Linked DNA regions of Schizosaccharomyces pombe. The protein of the gene in region 4 binds, or shares a complex with, the protein of the main gene of each other region. Each region holds a gene or a part of one and is shown on either strand. Other genes may lie near its edges.

Region 1 (5,205 bases), on a different chromosome or scaffold from region 4:
CCGAAGCTTTTGCTTCTGTAAACGATTGTTTTGAGCGCTCTTTGATTTTATTGCATAAAATGCCTGTTATTTGGAAACTATATTTACAATTTTTGATGAAACAACCAAATGTCACTAAGATTCGTTGTACATTTAACTCTGCACTTCGCGCCTTACCGGTAACTCAGCACGATGATATTTGGGACATGTTTACGAAATATGCTGAAGATATTGGAGGATTATTTTGCATCCATGTCTACCGCAGATATATACAAGTAGAACCAAGAGCAATTGAAAACTACATTGAGATACTTTGTAAATTAGGGCTGTGGAATGAAGCTGCTCGACAATATGAGGATATTTTAAATCGGCCCGTGTTTTTATCAGCAAAAAGGAAGAGCAATTATCAGATATGGCTCGAGTTTTCCGAGTTAGTTGTTCAGCATCCTGACCATACGCAAAACATAGACGTAGAAAAGGTTTTTAGAGCTGGCATTAAAAGGTTTTCTGATCAAGCAGGGAAACTATGGACTTATTTGGCACAATATTATATACGCATTGGTGACTACGAGAAGGTATGTTTAACTGGTTTGTTTATTGACCCCTTATTGCAAAAACTAACTTATCGTACAGGCAAGAAGCACATTCTATGAAGGGATGAATAACATAATGACTGTAAGAAATTTTACAATTATATTCGATGCTTTTGTTGAATTCGAAGAGCAATGGCTATCTGCACGAGTTGAAGCAAGCAGCGGAAATGCAAATGACGAATTAAGTATCGATTTTCATATGGCCTGGCTCGAGAAAATACTTGACAAACGTCCGCTTTATATCAATGATGTATTATTAAGGCAAAATATAAATAACGTTGACGAATGGCTTCGCCGAGTCAAGTTTTTAGAAGACGACAGCGAAAAAGTTGTTCAAGTTTACACAGACGCTATAAAAAATGTAAATCCAAAGCTGGCGCATGGCTCCCTCGGCAAATTGTTTTCAGAGTTTGCTCGTTTTTATGAAAATTTTGATGATTTAGAACAATCAAGGATAATTTTTGAAAAGGCTACTCATGTACCATATAAAACAGTCAATGAGTTAGCACAAGTTTGGATTGACTGGGCCGAGATGGAACTTCGACATCAAAATTTTGACGCTGCGAGAAAATTAATAGGAGATGCCGTTCATGCTCCTAGAAAAAGTCATATCAGCTTTTTTGATGAATCACTCAGTCCACAAGTACGGCTACACAAGTCATCTAAGATATGGATGTATTATCTTGATCTTGAGGAAAGCGTTGGTACGATTGAAACTACACGCAAATTGTACGACCGCGTCTTTGAACTAAAAATTGCTACTCCCCAGGTGGTTGTCAATTATGCAAATCTCTTAGAGGAGAATGCTTATTTTGAAGATTCATTTAAAATTTATGAGAGAGGTGTTGCGTTATTTAGTTATCCCGTGGCTTTTGAACTTTGGAATTTATATTTAACAAAATTTGTTAAACGATATCAAGGAACGCATATGGAAAGGACCAGGGATTTATTTGAACAAGCATTAGAAGGATGTCCGCCCGAATTTTCGAAAAGTATTTATCTTCTGTATGCCGATTTCGAAGAAAAGTTTGGCAAAGCAAAAAGATCCATTTCTATTTTAGAAAAAGCGGCCGACAAGGTTAAAACAGCAGACCGTCTTGCTATTTACAATGTGTTACTCGTTAAAGTGGCATTAAATTATGGTGTACTGGCGACAAGGACAGTTTATGAGAAGGCTATTGAATCCCTGAGTGACTCAGAAGTCAAAGATATGTGCTTAAGGTTTGCTGAAATGGAGACGAAACTTGGTGAAATCGATCGTGCTCGTTTAATATATATTCATGGAAGTCAATACTGTGATCCAAGAGTTGAAACGGATTATTGGAAAGCATGGCAAGAATTTGAAATAAGGTACGGAAATCCAGAAGAAACAGTTAAAGAAATGCTTCGTATTAAACGGTCTGTACAAACTAAGTTTAGCACTGATTCCCTTCATATAGCGAAGAGAGCAGCTAAAATTGAAAGTGCAGCAGCACCAATGGATCCAATGGAACAGCTTGAAATGGAAAAATCTGAAGGACCTAAGGCACTTGCGGGTTTTGTTCTTTCGAAAAGCAATCCCCAAGAAACTTCAAAAATTACTGGTGAGGAAAACTAACGAAACAAGTGTGGACTATTCGTAACGTTTTTAGTTAAAGAACACTTTTAATGAAGAAAAGCTAGTGTCATATTGTTAAAAAAAAAAGTACGAATACAGTCAGAGTATTTTTGCTAATAAACGGTCCAACATCAGAGTAATTGAAAACACATTAGTTAATTTTTATTTTCGAGATGAATTTTTTAACAAATCTTTGTAAATGGGGTCGTTTCTGAGCAATTTTTCGGCATTTTGTGTGATTATATCTTTTTTCGAAGGACCGTTTAACAATTCTTTGAAATTATCAGTAGACTTAGACTGTGACTCGAAGTTTTTAAGGGCATCATCGATGGATTCGTATTCATAAGCTTTTGCTTGCAATTTTAAATCCCACATGTTGCATTTTCGTAAATAACTAAAAAACGTTTCTAAAGTAACTGGATTGACACTGTACAGTTGTATAAGTCGAGAGTGCGTAATACGTTCAAAATTCTCCTGAGAAGATTTGTGAATAAAAGGTGATCGGAGTAAAGTCCAGCTTTCTACTTTGTTGGGTAATGGACGTGGACCCTTGATTGGAATTTTCATGTAATACGCTGTTCGACAAATGAAGTCGGTAAACGTATCAAGTTTTGGAGTTTCAAAGCTTTTAATTTTTAGAGAAGCACAAAGTACGTCGTTTTCAGAAGGATTGAATTTAACAGGGTTCAAATATACAGCTGCAACGTTGGAAGGAAGCTGTTGAAAAAATGGATTCTCAAAAAGTTGATCCTTTTCGCTGTTCCCTTTGCTAATAAATTGGGGTTAGAATGTACAAAATTATAGCTTAAATTAGAGGAAAGGATTGAATACATACGGTGATTCTTTGCCAATAGCTGTCTGGAAACAACGTTTCGGTTGCACGCGAGGTAATGTACCAAACATATACCGTTTCATGATTAATATTTTAGCCGGTTACTTAAAATACTTGTTAAGAAAACCACAAGAACAAAATTCCAACAATTAAACACTGTAAAGGTGTTTTTTTTTAACAAAATTTTTTGGTTGGAGTGGGGAGTAATGGTCGAGCTACACTTGTCATCCACCATCATATTCAGTTTAACACAATTATCGTAGGACTAAGGGGTTATTAATCAATGTTTTAATTGAACATAAACAAGCGGAGCGAAATCATTTTAAATGTCGTTCGCGCGTGAATACCTTGAAAAACACGTAGATGGTAACATTTATTTTAAAAAAGCAATATCATTCTGTAATTTATACTATGATGGAACGATCTAACTATAAATTTTTTATTTGCATTTGAAGGTCAAAGTTTAGAATTCAAAGGTGGGTGTGATTGTACTGTACTAAAAATATTATTGATGCACCATAGTGAAGAAAACCAAAAAAATTCGATTAAACATGAATATTTGTGATTATAAGGCTTTCAGCACAATTTAAAATTGACCAGTATGATGAGAGTTCTCAGTCAGCAATGAGATGTAATTTTTTAAAATTATGAGGAGACAATTATTTTACAATAACAAATTCCGGAAGTTAACAAAAGTGTGAACTGAACAATTGTGCTTTTGAGCTAGGAATTAAAGGTTTGGGACTGGCATCCTACTTGCAATTATGGAAGAATCTACTGATTTGTCATTCAAATTACTTTATACTACAAGAATACATAGGGATTTTGGAATTAAATGCTTACCTCGTAACACAATAATCGTTCTCATTTAAATTGGCTTTAACAATGAAAAATATTCAATGTTTTACAGTTTCAAGGTTGTATGTTAAACTGTTACAGCAGACAGCTATATAAATATATTAACTTGCGACCCTTGTTTACCAATCCTGCATTCAAAACTGACTTGCGATCACTGATATATATATATATATATTTAAGTATTGCAAACGAGTATCACTTTTCAAGCAGATAGGTTGGTGTCAACAACTTCTTGCTGCATGTCAAAGTCAAAGTCGCACATATGATTATTAAATTGACACTACCGAACATCTTGATAAATACTTCAAGCATGGCTTTTCTGGAAAACGAAAAAAATATATCGTTCTCATCTTTAAAAGTTTGAAGTTTGTATACATAGGTTCTACAGCTGTAATTCCTTCATAAAACATCAATGCATATTATTATTCCTTGATTCTAATATGTCAGATCGACTCATTATTAAAAATAAATTCGGTGATACATTTTTTAATCTATAATTCAAGGCACCATACTCATTATCAAAATAACTTGGTAATATAATTTGACGATGGAACTTACATCTTTGAATGAGTCTAAATTTTTTGTTTACGCGTTCAAAATGTTAGATGCATATCAAATAGTGCGGATAAATAAGAAGCACAATATTAAGTTAGGGTTGCTAATTTTATCTATCTATAAGCAGTGTCAAAAGTACGAAAGACTGCGTTAACTCTTCTTATAAATTTATATTAAACTTAATGTACTATTTTTTGTTCCTAAGTAAACTACACAGTGTAACTTTATATTAATTCATTATTTCTATTAATGCATCGCTACGAGCTTCATCAAATCCTTTAATTTTATCTGATGCATGTGCGTTCGTGCGCTAGTGAAGTAAAAGTTTTCAAAGGCAGAGATATTCAAAAATTTGGGCAGAATGTCGTTGCAAGCAATCATTTATAATGAGGACAAGCTTCTTGTATTAGACCAATTACTTCTTCCGTACGAGCGTAAATACATTTCAGTTAGTAATGTAGAAGACGCATTCGCTGTCATAAAAAAAATGCAAGTTCGTGGGGCCCCAGCTATTGCTATTGTAGCAGCTTTGAGTGTGGCTGTCGGATTAAAACATCTTTCTGAAGATGCAGATGCAAAAGAATATGTTATAAATAGCTTTGAGCATCTCAAACAGTCTCGTCCTACCGCTGTCAATCTTTTTGAAACTGCAAAGTTTATGCAAGGCATTGCTCTTCAAGAAGGAAAAAATTGTCGAAATAAAATTATTCAGGAAGCGGAGCGTATGCTAGTAAAAGATTTAGAAGACAACCACAATATTGGAACTGCTGGCCGAAAATTCTTGTTGCAGC
Region 2 (3,169 bases), 1.7 Mb from region 4:
ACTTTGTACGGACAGATATGGTTGATGGATCAGCTGAAGCTAATAACAAATTCATTTCCGTAACAATATCTTGGAGAGACGTCGGGTCATCTGATCGCAACTGCCCTCCACAATTGAGGACAATTTTGAGCAGCATTTCAACGTTCAATTCGGTTAAAGAGCGTAAAAAAAGGCGAATCAAATCATAAACAAGAACACATGAAACAAGTTGAAAATTATACAACTCAACAAAAAATACAATCAAGTTAGAAGTCTCCTTATGGGAAGAAAGAGGTTCTTTCTCTTTTGATTTATAAAGCTGCAAAAAACGTTCCACTAGGGTTTGCAATAGATGAGCACCAAAGTCATTGCCTACAATGCGGTAAAGAGCAGTGGCTAACGCAGCATATACTATGGCCAATTGATCTAGCATAGATTCTCTTCCCATTACGGTTTGTAGTAGCAAATTGGTGATGGTAGACGTGACTGAGTGTCTTGAATTTTCCATGTAAAGGACTTCAATCTCCTTAATAATTGAAGAAATATTTGCGATAGACAATTTGTTTAGCGATCCTTGTAATTTCCGACGAAGTCGCAGAGCATCTTCTGACTCCTTATCTCCCCCTAATTTTTTCCGTAAAGATGGAGGGACATACTTTGAGCCGACGTTCGCATTAGGTAAGGATGGGACTGCAGGCTTCAAAGGATCCATCCGAATCGGCTTAGTTTCAGGTTGATGGAATTCATCAGAATTAGACTCAAACCCATGAAACTCTTCCTCCTCCTCACCCGAATTTCCTTCCCTTTCACTTTCCAACTCATCAACGCTACCATGGTCACCTGTATCGTCTGAAACTTCAGAGTCTTCTGAATGACCATATGAAGGATCTTCAGTGCCCGGAACGCCTATGTCATCAATTTCTTGATCTAGGTCTTCTAAAAGCCATCCAAATTCCTTGTCAATTTTTGAGTGAGCAGATTTATCTTTGCTTTTGATGCCAAGCATCTTTTCTAAATGAGCGATTTCACGATCATCCTCTTCCAAAGCAATCTTATGCTGAAAAGCAATGGGATCGAGTAATTTACTCTCCTTTGCCTGTTTATTCTGTGAAGATTTTTTTTTTGTAGATGACTTTCTGTGAGCATCTAAGTAATCATCATTAAGTTCAGAAGACTTACTATCACCTTCTTCTGTAATCTTCCGGTTTTCATAACCATTTTTTCCTCGAGAGATCCTAGCAAATTTTCTTTTTTCACGATGAGGTAGATTATGATTTCGCTTTCCCCGCCTAGCACTCGAATCTATCAATTTGGTTAAATATACTGACCAAATCTATAAAAAAAAGCTTACCAGATTCTCCTATCTCTTCTAAAATACTTTTGGGCAGTTTTAAGCTTCTGCTTTTTTTAATTGGCCTCATACTATCGAATGTTTAAATATTAAACAAACGATAATTAATACTAAAGCTCAAGAACTACCAAATTTTTCAATTAAACGATACCAAAAACTGGTATAATTGCTTTACAAAGAGAAGAATTGGGCCTCAGTCTCGAGTTGGCGTATCGTTTCAAATGAATTTCACAACACTGCTAATGGAACTGTATACAATATCGCAATTTGTTAATGCTATTTAAAGTTGTCACTCTGCTGCTGTATTTTACATTAACGCTCTATGTAGTATCACACTAATAAAGCATATCGAAGTGGAAATGTTGCAATCGTGCAGCGATTTCAAAGTCTTAAAGTACTACTACACCAAACGGGCTTTCATTTTGCTCGAGTCATTCGTGTCTGTATTATGCTTTCACGGAAATTATCACCGGAGCAACTTGTAGCTCGTCGTTTAAAAATACGTGACTGGAATCACAAAATAGGTGCAGTTGTAGCTCCCCATTATTCACCGACATTATCCATTCGAAATCCGGCACCTCCTAGTCAACTTAGTCTTCCTTTATTGTTGTCTTCTGGTGCTCATTTAGGACACTCTACATCCATATGGAATCCTTACACGCAGCCCTTTATATATGGTAAAAGAGAAGGTATTCACATAATATCATTGGATCAAACCATGGTTTACCTACGAAGAGCTATATCCGTCGTTAGATCAATAGCTAAAGAAAATGGAATTATATTGTTCATTGGCACCAGAAACGGCCAGAAAGATTCTGTCGTTGCTGCTGCCAAACGTGCTAGAGGTTATCACATATTTGATCGTTGGCTACCAGGACTTCTCACCAATGCCAGAGAAGTACAAGGAAAGCTTGGCGGTTCAATTTTATGTAAAGATAATAGAGGGAAATTGATTCAAACTGATAAAAAACCAAGTTATGTCTTTCCTGATTTGATGGTTATACTAAACCCATTAGAAAACAAAAGTGCTTGTCTAGAGGCACAGAAAACTCATGTTCCAACAATTGGAATCATTGATACTGATGCGGATCCAAGGATGGTTACCTATCCTATTCCAGCAAATGATGATTCTTTACGGTGTACAGATTTAATAGCTGGTTTACTGAGTAGGGTAGCTGAGCAAGAGTACCAAAAAGCTAACCAAGCCTTCGAAAAAGATAAATTTACACTTCCTTTATGATTCCCCTCTCATTGTTTTGAAAATGCCTGTATTCTTTGATTTTTCTAAACATGATTAAAGATAAGGTCTGATTAATTTTCACTAGTATTCAATAAAATTAATGATTCGTAAACGAAAGGTTAAAAAGAAAGAATAAATTATTATGGATAACGTATATATCACATTTCAATGATTTGATGCCAAAATTTTTGTTAAAGACAGACATATTTTGCTGTGCGAAAGGAAATCATCGGTATGCTTTCACATTTTCTATAAACTCTTTTTTCAATTGTTGAATAGTCATCTTTCTAGTATCCCTTGAATTATGATTGTGTCTACTAGATACACTGAGAATTTCTTTGTCAACTTCGTCTTCTCCAATGACAATTTCATAATTATAATTTAAAAGTCTTGATTCACGTAGCCGTTTGCCAATAGATTGTGCTTCAGCGTTTATGTCCACATAATAGGTATTTTTATTGAGTGGGAGAAATTCAGATTCATTGACTTCCTGATTAGACAATTCCTTTTGTACTTGCTTAGCATAAGTTAGAATTCGATCTGTTTGATTGACTGGTAAAATGACAGCATGTCTAGGACTTAGCCAAAATGGCCAGTGT
Region 3 (6,259 bases), on a different chromosome or scaffold from region 4:
TCGAGAGAAAAGTAAAATGATCCATTTGTTAATAGCTTTCTGAGACTACTGAATGGTTCAGCGGCATACTTGTAAGAATCATAGCCTTGGGTATCGGTATCGTAACCATCCGGAATATCAGGCGAGTAATTTTCTTGTCGAATGTGATCCCAGTTTGAACGATTAACACTGTAAAAGCAGACCTCCATGATACGAAAAACTCTTTCTTTATCTCGCACACGTGCTACCTCACTAGCTCCACTAATCACGCACAAAAAATTGGACCCTTCTAATTCAATCAGACCTAGAGTACCATAAATTCGATGACTGGAGATTTTTCGAAATCCTTCTAACGGCTTTTCTGACAATGCCGTAAATTCTGCAACACATACTGATAAAGAGTTTTTGTTCTGAGGAACCGAATGAAACATAAGAGCATGGTCCTTATTGACTAAGGCCAAGGATCTTGGCTTTTCCCTCAGCAGACATTGCATCTTAAGATTCACAAATGTGAACTATAAATAATAAAATTCGTTCTGTAATGAACGATGCAAGTCTTTACCAACGATGTTTGTCCGAACAAGTTATAAATCTTGGGATACGAAGTTGGGTGGTGTTGGGTGACAAAAACGTTCGTTACTTAAACATTATAGAAGCGCTTCTGTAAATTAGAATAAGTAAACGGCTTATTTTAATTTACTATGTTAAAATGTATTCCAAAAAATTTTGGTTCTAATATATGGAAGTTTCTGGTCAATTTTTAAAGTGCATTTGCTTTACAAAACTCGTAACCCTTGTAAACATATTTCATTGATTATGGGTAGAAAACCATTGAAACAAGAAAATCATAAGAGAAGCGATCTTGCTAAAACGTAACGTAACAGGATTTCAAGGCACTTCCATAAGATTGGTACTGTCAAAAAATGTATTATAATTCACTTTCGTTCATCAACAGTGCCATTGTTAATTTCAAAAACACCAAGTTGCACAAGAATACAGCGGTTACTCCAACGTATTAAAAATAAAAGTCAAACAGATACAGTATTCGGCAGAAAAAACCCCCATCTTAAGAGCTAAGATTATTTGAGCTCTCCGAAGATGTTCGCTGACGCTGAATAGCTTCAACTATGGCAATTTTTTACATTTCAAATGTGTTGGTTACTGTAATAGTATGTTTAATCTCGCAAATAGTGGTTATTGTATTGTAGCCACTTGAACCGAATGCTTATTAATTGAAAGGTTAGATGTTTTTTGCAATACAGTTAATTTCCACAAATAGAGCAGCAAAGTATAGTACTCATTGTGGCTACGTCGAGAATAAGTATCCAACTTGCTAGCCAATTCCGAGTAATCAGCGCACATCTAAAAATTAAGATTGGGTTTCCGGCATTGATATTGTCACTTTTTAGAAGGCTCGATCGATACTTATAATCTTGATTTTTCAGAAAAATTAAAGAAAAAATTTTCCTGGCTGGAGCATATTGATATTCCAACAGTCTGCAATTCGATTTTGACTCGAAGTGTTTGTTCCTTGCTTAGGTCCCTGGCTTTACTTTAATATAGGCACTTTTCATGAGAATCCATTGAAATTGTACGTTTTCTAAAGCCATAAAAATTTAAGTTAGGTCTCCTCTGTAAATTGTCGTGAATATTTCATAAGTGAGACAAGTCGTAATGGCGTTACTAAATAGGTTGGCAAAAACCTTTTCCCCTTATTATGGATTAAACAAAGTTGAACAAAAGCTTTTAATAAAAATAGATTGGTTCATACTTTCTTACTGTTGCGTTTCATATTTTATTAATTACTTGGATAGATCATCAATAAACAATGCATACCTTAGTGGTATGCAAGAGGATTTGAAAATGCATGGTAATGAATTGCAAGATATAAACGTTGTTTTTACATGTGGATACATTATAGGACAATTGCCAGGTTCTTATGCATTACAGAGAGTACCAGCAAGACTTTGGTTTTCGGTTATGAATATTTTATGGGGACTTATGACGATTTTTTCATTTGCGGTACATTCCGTTCGAGCATTGATGATTTTACGCTTTTTCATGGCGGTTGCGGAGGCATCTACATTTGCTGGTACGCATTATATATTGGGCGCATGGTACAAAGAAAGTGAACTATGCAAACGTGCCGGAATTTTTTCAGCCTCTGGTTTAGTCGGCACAATGTTTGCTGGGTATTTGCAAACAGCAGTTCATTCATCATTAAATGGTAAAGGTGGTTTATCTGGTTGGCGTTGGCTTTTTATAATTGATGGCATTTTGACGATTCCTCTTTCATTATATGGGCTCTTTCTGTTTCCTGACGTTCCAGAAACAACCAAGGCTCCTTATTTTACAGAACAAGAAAAAGAATTAAGTTTCAAAAGGCTACCCGCTCGCCCCAAGAAGAAGCCATTAACGCTAAAAGCGATAAAGGATATTGTACGTTCATGGCGAATTTACGGTTTGTGCATCCTTTGGATTTTTAGCGGAGAAACACAAGCTATAGCTGTCAATGTATTGATGGGTCAGTGGATGAAATGGAGCAACAAATTTTCTGTTGCCCAAATAAATAATTACCCAACTGTGATTACAGCTGTTGGCGTAGTATCAACGTTAGGTGCTAGTGTTATTTCTGATAAATTAGCTGGAAACCCAAGATGGCCTTTTGGACTTTTTCTGTGCGTAATTACTACTGTTTCTGCTACAATACTTCTAGCATGGAACGTGCCAGATGGCGCAAAATTCTTTGCTTATTTCGCTTCTGGTTGTACATATGCTGGACAAGCAGTTTGGTTTTCTTGGGCAAATGACATTTGCCGGGATAATGATCAGGAAAGAGGAGTTGTTGTGTTTTTGATGAATATGTGTCAGAATATCTGGCATATTTGGTGGGCACCTATAATGTATCCCAATACTGATACGCCTCGATTTATAAAAGGATTAATTGGTTTGCTGGTGGTAGGAGGAATAGTCTTTGTTAGCTCTTGTATTGTTAGTTACATGCAAATCCGCGATAAAAGAATTAAACGATCCATCCAGGATGCAAAAGATTTCGATGATGTATTCACTGAGCATGAAAGTTTAGAGTTAAAAAAAATAGGCAAAAATGATGAGGAATCACTCAACACAACTAATGCGGTCAAAGAAATTAGTTCTCCAGGGCTTGTGATAACGCGACAGCGAATTTCCATGCCAAAAGAAACGAATGCCCAAGATTAGTACTAGAAGATTAATGACATAGTATAAATATTCCTTATGCCTTTAAGTACACATTTAGAGTAAATTTGCTGTTCATATTGATATCAACCTAACATAAAAATTTACCACAGTTGGCTCATCTAATTGACCAAGCCCTTTGACGCAAACGCAAACGAATACCTTTGCACACATACTCAAAAAGAATCTGCTAACAAACGATTTAAGGTGCAGCTGAAGTTAAAAATTTATAACCATTAAATAGAAATACCAACTATACGTATAGTTTGGATGGTATCCGGCAATGATCAACAAGTTATTGAGTATACATCAGTCCTAAAGGAATTTAGCGATGGTGTAGACTTAATGGAGCTAAAAGAAAATTTTTTATATATTAGGACTAGAGAAAAAATTGAAGCTAAATTAATCTGGGCAGGAGAGTGGGAATGGAAGCCCGTGAACGAAACAAATGAAAATAACTTGGAAAGAGGGAGACAATACCCTAGCGCCAATTCCGCACTAATGGAAAATTCTCCAGAATTTGCTAAATGGTTTCATGGACAATTGTTTAATCGGCTTTGCGTTCTAGGCTCCACATCTTCGTCGAGAAAAGACATGCTTTGAACAGTGTTGGCTATTTTAAGCAAATTTTAGATTAATTCGAACTCAAGCAAAAACTCAACTACAAAAAGAAGAAAGAATGTCTCAAAAGAATATAATATTCCATATACTTATTATTTACGTTTGCGTCGCTCACCTCCATTCTTTTTAACCATAACTGGATATGGCTTAACTATAAACCCTTCTTTAAATCGGTTTCTTTGGCTTGCAATGTATTTCCTTGTACGTACATCAATACCTTCCTTTTTCATAGTTTTTGTACTTTTCCTAAATAGACCATCCCAAGACTCGAATTTTCCGTTCACTTTTTCTGCAGTATCTCTTCCAATTCTTTTAAAGAAATCATTTGTATTAGAAATCCCTGAATCTTGTTAGGAATTTAAATTGCACTAATGTTTTGAAATCTCATACCTGATCTTGGACTAGGAACAGTAGAGGCATACCGGCAGTTAGAAAAAGGAAATATAAAATTTCTTATAATGAAAATCCTCTTCAAGATCAACATATTTACCAGTATTGTTTTAAAAATATTTGGTTGTTTAAATAAGTTGTGTACAGTTTCTGGAACGTATGCGAAAGTCTCACAAACGTACTAGCGACTCATAGTGCGACCATGTCAAGCTTAGTGCCTGCAATTATTAGCTATATAAATCCTTGCTTTTAATTCTTTTATGAGATTTACTGCATGCAAACTTTCAAGTCCCTTGAATATCTCAAACTTCTACTTCCGAAAAGTCATTACGTGTCTATTAACTAATCAATACAGTGAATCTACAAATTCCTAATTGCGGTTTTTGTATAGCAGGAACTCGTATTTTGAACATATAAATTACCAGTTATATTTTCGGGTGAATTTTTTGAAGACTCTACTATGTGTATTTAAAGCCCACTTACTTTAATTGTAAAAACATTAATTTAACTAATTATAGTGAATGTCTGACTCTAAGCTATTTATCAACGCATTCCAACCACCCACGAGTTTGTTAAGTATACAACAAAAGCACAATTTCTAATCACAGTATTGGAGATGTTTTTTAAAAATGAATGTCGATAATAATAAAGGCAATATTCCAGAGCTCCTTTGGAATGGCACTATTTCTGTGCGCATTGATTATGAAGGTAATTCTCTGGCCTATCTAGTATGTGATTTGTTCACTCAAGTAGTAATTTAATATTCTTTAACTCAATTTATTTTTTCCTTTTTGCTCACCATATTCTACCTAAGGCTAACGTCCCGCGACAATCATATTTTGCTCAAATACTCCCAAATGTTCAACGTCTGTTGGCACCTTCAATCCCTTTATCAGAATGTTGGTTGGATTATAATGGGGTTCCTCTTAAATGGTATCGTTTACCCAAAGTAACTTTCCGTAAATTAATCATAATATAGGCATTGGCCTGTTGGCTTACTTTTCGATTTGTTAACAGTGTTTGATCCGGATACTCCTCGAGCGCCGGTGCTATGGCGCATTCAATTGCGCTCAGGTCTATTTCCTACAACCAAAATACTTCAAATGGAAACCATGGATACTTTTCGAACATATTTTTTCAACTGCTTAAAAGAGGTGCGTTCTCTATCACAAAAACATATATGATTTATTTACAAAAGGGGTAAATCCATATTAACTTTTTACAGTCTGATTACGTTCGTAACGGAAGTTCGTCTGGAATAATCGCTCTTTCAAAGGCAGAAACAGACACCTACTGGAATGCAATACTCAATCATGATTACTATGATTTCCGTCCCATTGCTATAAAAATACTTTTTTCAAAATCCAAATTCATTCCTTTAAAAATTTATTTAGGGGCCAATGCTCCTATTATACAAACTTCTGCACCTCTTGGTAGTTCTCTTGGTGAGTTTCTCAATAAACGCCTTCCCGACTTGTTTCCATCATGTGATAAATTCTTAATAGTTAAACCAGTTATTCATGGTATTACAATTTTTCTTCAGAGCGTTTTAGACGAGCTCAATCGAGATTTCTGTTACATTGATGGGTTTTTACATATTGTTTTAATGAAAGTTTAAAACATTTACGTCTCTTCTCTAGCTCCTTTAGATAATTTGTTATTCATGTACAAATAATTTTAAGATTTGTATACCCATGCAGTCTAGCAATGACTTTACAATGACATTAAGGTGCGTTTGAGTACTCCTTTCCCTAAACAAACTGCTTTTTAAGAAGTAGGAAATGCAACGAGATATAGCATTGATAATTTGACTATGAAAATTTCTTTTTAATGAGAAGTCGTAGATTATGAAGACCCATTGGCAGCAACACCAGATGTTACTGTCTCAACAACACCCTGAAGACGGTAATATTTCTCATATGGAGATTCACCAGACTTGATTTTTGCTTCATTCACAGAAATACCAGGGTGACCGTTAGTGCTTAAAAGCCTAGTACTAACCTGTTTCAAATCTTGTCCTTCATCGAGCTTTTTCCAGTGGGATTCCCGTACA
Region 4 (3,697 bases):
TAAAATGATTGAAATGCAGGATTGCCAAACCTCGACCCCATATTATCAATTGCAGGATTTTCCTGTTTAATTTCTCCAACTCGATCTAGTATATTTAATACATGCTCTATTGATGAGCTTTGCGGAATTGAAGCTGAAATAGGCTTGTCTTTCACAGCTTCGTCAAGATCACAAATAAACGAATCAATTAACTTATAAGCATCTCCTTCTTTAAATAATTTTAAGTCTTCATTGTCTAAAATTCGTCGGACAGGAACGAAACACCGGTTTTGCTCTTCTCTAGAAAGCATGTTGGCATAACTTGATCGGTTAAGACAAGATTAACAAAAGCCTTAAAAATTATACAGTTGGACGCTCTTCAATATTCCTTATGTTGTTATTTGTTATGTCAGTCGTCAGTACGTTACATTTCATTATTGTAATTAGCTATAATCAGTGAGAACATTTTTTAAAGAAAGAAATGTAGAAATTTTTTTTTTTTTTTTCAAAATTGTTTTAAGGAAATAATTTCGACTACTAAAGTTATTTTTCATACCAATGTGTTCTTTTATTCTATGTGTAAACAGATACAGTGTAATAAGCGTTTATTAATTGCTTGATATACAACAACATATTTATGATTCACATGAAGTGTACATGTCATTAATTCTAGCCATCGACAAATATTTAAAAATATAAAAAGGAAGGGCCAAAGATGGAGGTATTGTAATAGTACTAGACATGGGAAGCTAATTGATATGAAGGAGATAGCCGGCATAAACAAATAAGTGCTCCGCTTTTTGAAAATAGTTAAATAAACGCGGATTGTTTAATGATTTTATCGCAAGAAAAAAGCACCGACCTAATTGTCTCATACCGGAACATTAAAGGATAGAATATACATGAGAGAAAATGTATTCCTTGTTAAAAAAGCCTGAAGTAAACATTAAATGATTAAACGTTTCTTAAGAAAAGAGAGGTACTGATATCCAAGTTAAAAATAGAGACTCATAAATGCTTGCAGCCATTTTGAAAATGCTTGTTTACAGCTTAAACTCTCAATCCAACCAACCTAAAAATATAACCCGAGTAAAAATAAGTTCTAATAATCTCATTTTCCTAGACGTTTCCTAAGTGCTCGTTGTCGGCGTAAGCGCTTTTTGAACTTATGTTTATTCATTTTCAATTTTCTTTTTCGTTTGACACTGGTCAAATCTAAAGGTGTAATAGAAATCAGCTTATCACATATTTGTTCCCATACTTGAGTAGATATACGAGCGGGTTGAGTTTGAGTTACGGATCCAGATGCAGAGAATGATTGAGCATACAAATAGCCATCCTCTAAAGATAACACATATTCCTGGGGTTGATCTTCCTCATCCTGCGATTGCGAAACTTGTGTTTTGGACTCAACTTTAGGCACACATATTTGATTAGCTGACAAAGGTCGATATCCAGCAAAGAAATTTGCTTTTGCGATTTCTACGCAATGAAGTTAGAAATAGAAGTATTTAATTTACTTACGACGATATGAAACGTGTGAAGTTGTAGGAACCGTTGGTAGGTTATATTTCGACCCAACTTCGGGAGAAGCTGAAACATGCCAAATCGGTATGGGACTACGCAGTGAAAGGCCGTTTAAACCTTTTAATATTGTGGAAAGCGCACCTCTTCGTAACATGGGTGACCAAGGCGAAAAATGTGTTGTACTCTTTGCACTGCGGGAAGGTAAGAATTGGTATGCTTATGCTAAACACTTACAAAGAGGAAGGGTGGTGCACATTTGATATTAATTCAGAAGAATGTTGTATTTAAATATATATGTGATGTTAAATAAAATTAATGCTAAATGAAATACAAAATTGTCCTTATGTATATACAGATGTTAGGTACGTTTTCGCTTCGAGAGTGGGCTGTCAGAATGAAGTCCACCGAGACGATGCAAATTTTTTTGCAAGATTGGGTTTTTAGGATCATACCAAGCAGATCCTTCTTTTGTAGTATCTTCATTTGCCAAATGCGTCCAGCGTGTTTGGCCTGCCTTCGCAAAAAGATCTCCCCTAATTTGCATAGGTTTGGGTAATAAATCTTTATTAAGAACTTCCCCTTCTGTGGCTTCTGAATAATCTCTTTTACTCACAATATCTTCGTTTTGATAGAATGCACCCTTATGATAGTACTTTTGTAAGAACTGCATAGATGACTTTTTCTTTCCTCTCCGACTTGCTTCAGCGTCCTTCAAATCTTGGGCTTCGCGTTCCTCAGAATTCATTAATCTTCTTTCTTCAATTGCCATCTTTTCCCTTTCTAATTCCAGTGACTTTTCCTTGTCTCTCTTTTTCCTAAGCAAATGCCTTAATTTCCATAATTCATATTCACTTTGCGGATCAATTCCATCGGTATCATCGATATCATTTAATAATTCATTATTGTTTTTAGTTTCTTTCAATAGTAATTCCCGTTTTATAGTCTCTTCTAATATTTTTTGTGAAGTCACTTTTTTAAGCACCTCAGTATCTTCTTCATTGGCTTTTGCCCGATTTTTGATGACTTTACTAGTAAATTTTGGCGGAAGAAGAAGTGTCCGCCTTCTCAGCTCCATCTCATATTCCGAATCAGAAGAGTCTTCTTCTTCAGAACTAGATGCTGCAGAGTTAGATCCCCCTTCTGCCGATGATGCGTCAGTCTCATATTCTGAAGCAGAGTTATCAATTGTTTGGACTGGGTTAATGTTTTGGAAATTAGAAGACGTTTTGGTTTCAGATATTCCTTCTTTCTCGAATACTGGAGTAATAACATGTCTTGATGAAGAAATCGAGTTTTCTTGATCATGTGAATCGGAAACTTCTTCATAATCACTTTCAGAAGAAGACTCACTTTCCAGCCCTTCCAATCTACCAGAGCGATATCTTGAAATAGGTTTATGGGGTATCAACGGTGTATCTATTGGCATCTTGACAAACGCTTTTTATTAAATTGGTTGGCAAATTTCAATCAACCGGTAAAACAATATAAATATGAATTGGAAATTATATATCTATTATCTACCACCCAAGATAAAACTGTATATCTGATATAATAGATTGTATGTATGCAATTTGTGGTACGGTGCCACTTACAAAGAGGTTTCGGGGCACTTACCAATGCGAGAACAAATATCACAAGCACACATTCTAGTCAAATGAACGAGAATCCTGGCATAATTTATATTTAGCTGAAAGTTTGTAAAATTGAATTGCCTTTTGTAAAATACATCGTTTCAGTTTATGGTCAATGTAATGTATTTCCAAAAACAACCGTTGTCAACCCTTTGAGACCTTCATAAAAATTATTTAGATGCTACATACAATATATCCTTTGAAAATACCCTCCTATAATTAGTAAAAATGATGTACTTTTCAAGATCCTAAAATTCGTTGAAGTGGTTTTAAAAAATATAGAGTTCTTGACTTGAAATCTGTCAGCATCTCACTTTTTCATACCAAAATAACTTTGAAGAAATAAAACCAAACGTATACTTGTAATTTTGTTATATTGATTATATTTCTCAATTCAATTCACCTTCTAATTCTAAATACAGATAGCGAGCGCTGGCAACTAGCAACAATAGTGAAGTTAAGTTCAACTATCGTAATATAACCATTAATTGAGAGTACATACTTCCCAGAGCTTGATACTACCGTAAAATAGCAAAAATCAGGTGCATATAATTGGTGCG

What was found.
Region 1: cox24 (region 4) and rsm10 share a complex: the UniProt entries of both Schizosaccharomyces pombe proteins name them as parts of the mitochondrial small ribosomal subunit.
Region 2: cox24 (region 4) and mrp4 share a complex: the UniProt entries of both Schizosaccharomyces pombe proteins name them as parts of the mitochondrial small ribosomal subunit.
Region 3: cox24 (region 4) and fyv4 share a complex: the UniProt entries of both Schizosaccharomyces pombe proteins name them as parts of the mitochondrial small ribosomal subunit.

The regions. Positions count from the first base shown.
Region 1 is NC_003423.3:3,868,172-3,873,376, reverse strand, and holds rsm10 (mitochondrial 37S ribosomal protein uS10m), read right to left. Parts: upstream 3,210-5,205; 5' UTR 3,085-3,209; coding exon 3,005-3,084; intron 2,939-3,004; coding exon 2,332-2,938; 3' UTR 2,170-2,331; coding exon of another isoform or gene 613-2,169; 3' UTR 557-612; downstream 1-556. Other genes in the region: protein Cwf3, read left to right, coding at 1-554, 613-2,169; mri1 (methylthioribose-1-phosphate isomerase), read left to right, coding at 4,776-5,205. UniProt on the Schizosaccharomyces pombe protein: Component of the mitochondrial ribosome (mitoribosome), a dedicated translation machinery responsible for the synthesis of mitochondrial genome-encoded proteins, including at least some of the essential transmembrane subunits of the mitochondrial respiratory chain.
Region 2 is NC_003424.3:3,064,819-3,067,987, reverse strand, and holds mrp4 (mitochondrial 37S ribosomal protein uS2m), read left to right. Parts: upstream 1-1,721; 5' UTR 1,722-1,778; coding exon 1,779-2,570; 3' UTR 2,571-2,662; downstream 2,663-3,169. Other genes in the region: sgd1 (ribosome small subunit biogenesis protein), read right to left, coding at 1-1,281, 1,331-1,400; SPOM_SPAC24C9.09 (threonine--tRNA (Thr) ligase), read right to left, coding at 2,797-3,169. UniProt on the Schizosaccharomyces pombe protein: Component of the mitochondrial ribosome (mitoribosome), a dedicated translation machinery responsible for the synthesis of mitochondrial genome-encoded proteins, including at least some of the essential transmembrane subunits of the mitochondrial respiratory chain.
Region 3 is NC_003423.3:3,431,767-3,438,025, reverse strand, and holds fyv4 (mitochondrial 37S ribosomal protein mS41 ), read right to left. Parts: upstream 4,359-6,259; 5' UTR 4,301-4,358; coding exon 4,207-4,300; exon of another isoform or gene 4,157-4,206; coding exon 3,909-4,156; 3' UTR 3,799-3,908; coding exon of another isoform or gene 3,466-3,798; 3' UTR 3,199-3,465; coding exon of another isoform or gene 1,654-3,198; 3' UTR 518-1,653; downstream 1-517. Other genes in the region: syj1 (inositol-1,4,5-trisphosphate 5-phosphatase 1), read right to left, coding at 1-473; plasma membrane pantothenate transmembrane transporter Liz1, read left to right, coding at 1,654-3,198; SPOM_SPBC4B4.12C (uncharacterized protein), read left to right, coding at 3,466-3,798; autophagy-associated protein Atg5, read left to right, coding at 4,836-4,934, 5,021-5,139, 5,186-5,360, 5,432-5,824; U1 snRNP-associated protein Prp39, read right to left, coding at 6,052-6,259. UniProt on the Schizosaccharomyces pombe protein: Component of the mitochondrial ribosome (mitoribosome), a dedicated translation machinery responsible for the synthesis of mitochondrial genome-encoded proteins, including at least some of the essential transmembrane subunits of the mitochondrial respiratory chain.
Region 4 is NC_003424.3:4,761,042-4,764,738, reverse strand, and holds cox24 (mitochondrial 37S ribosomal protein mS38 ), read right to left. Parts: upstream 1,697-3,697; 5' UTR 1,661-1,696; coding exon 1,504-1,660; exon of another isoform or gene 1,462-1,503; coding exon 1,091-1,461; 3' UTR 517-1,090; downstream 1-516. Other genes in the region: ypa2 (serine/threonine-protein phosphatase 2A activator 2), read right to left, coding at 1-290; splicing-associated factor Saf3, read right to left, coding at 1,865-2,932. UniProt on the Schizosaccharomyces pombe protein: Component of the mitochondrial ribosome (mitoribosome), a dedicated translation machinery responsible for the synthesis of mitochondrial genome-encoded proteins, including at least some of the essential transmembrane subunits of the mitochondrial respiratory chain.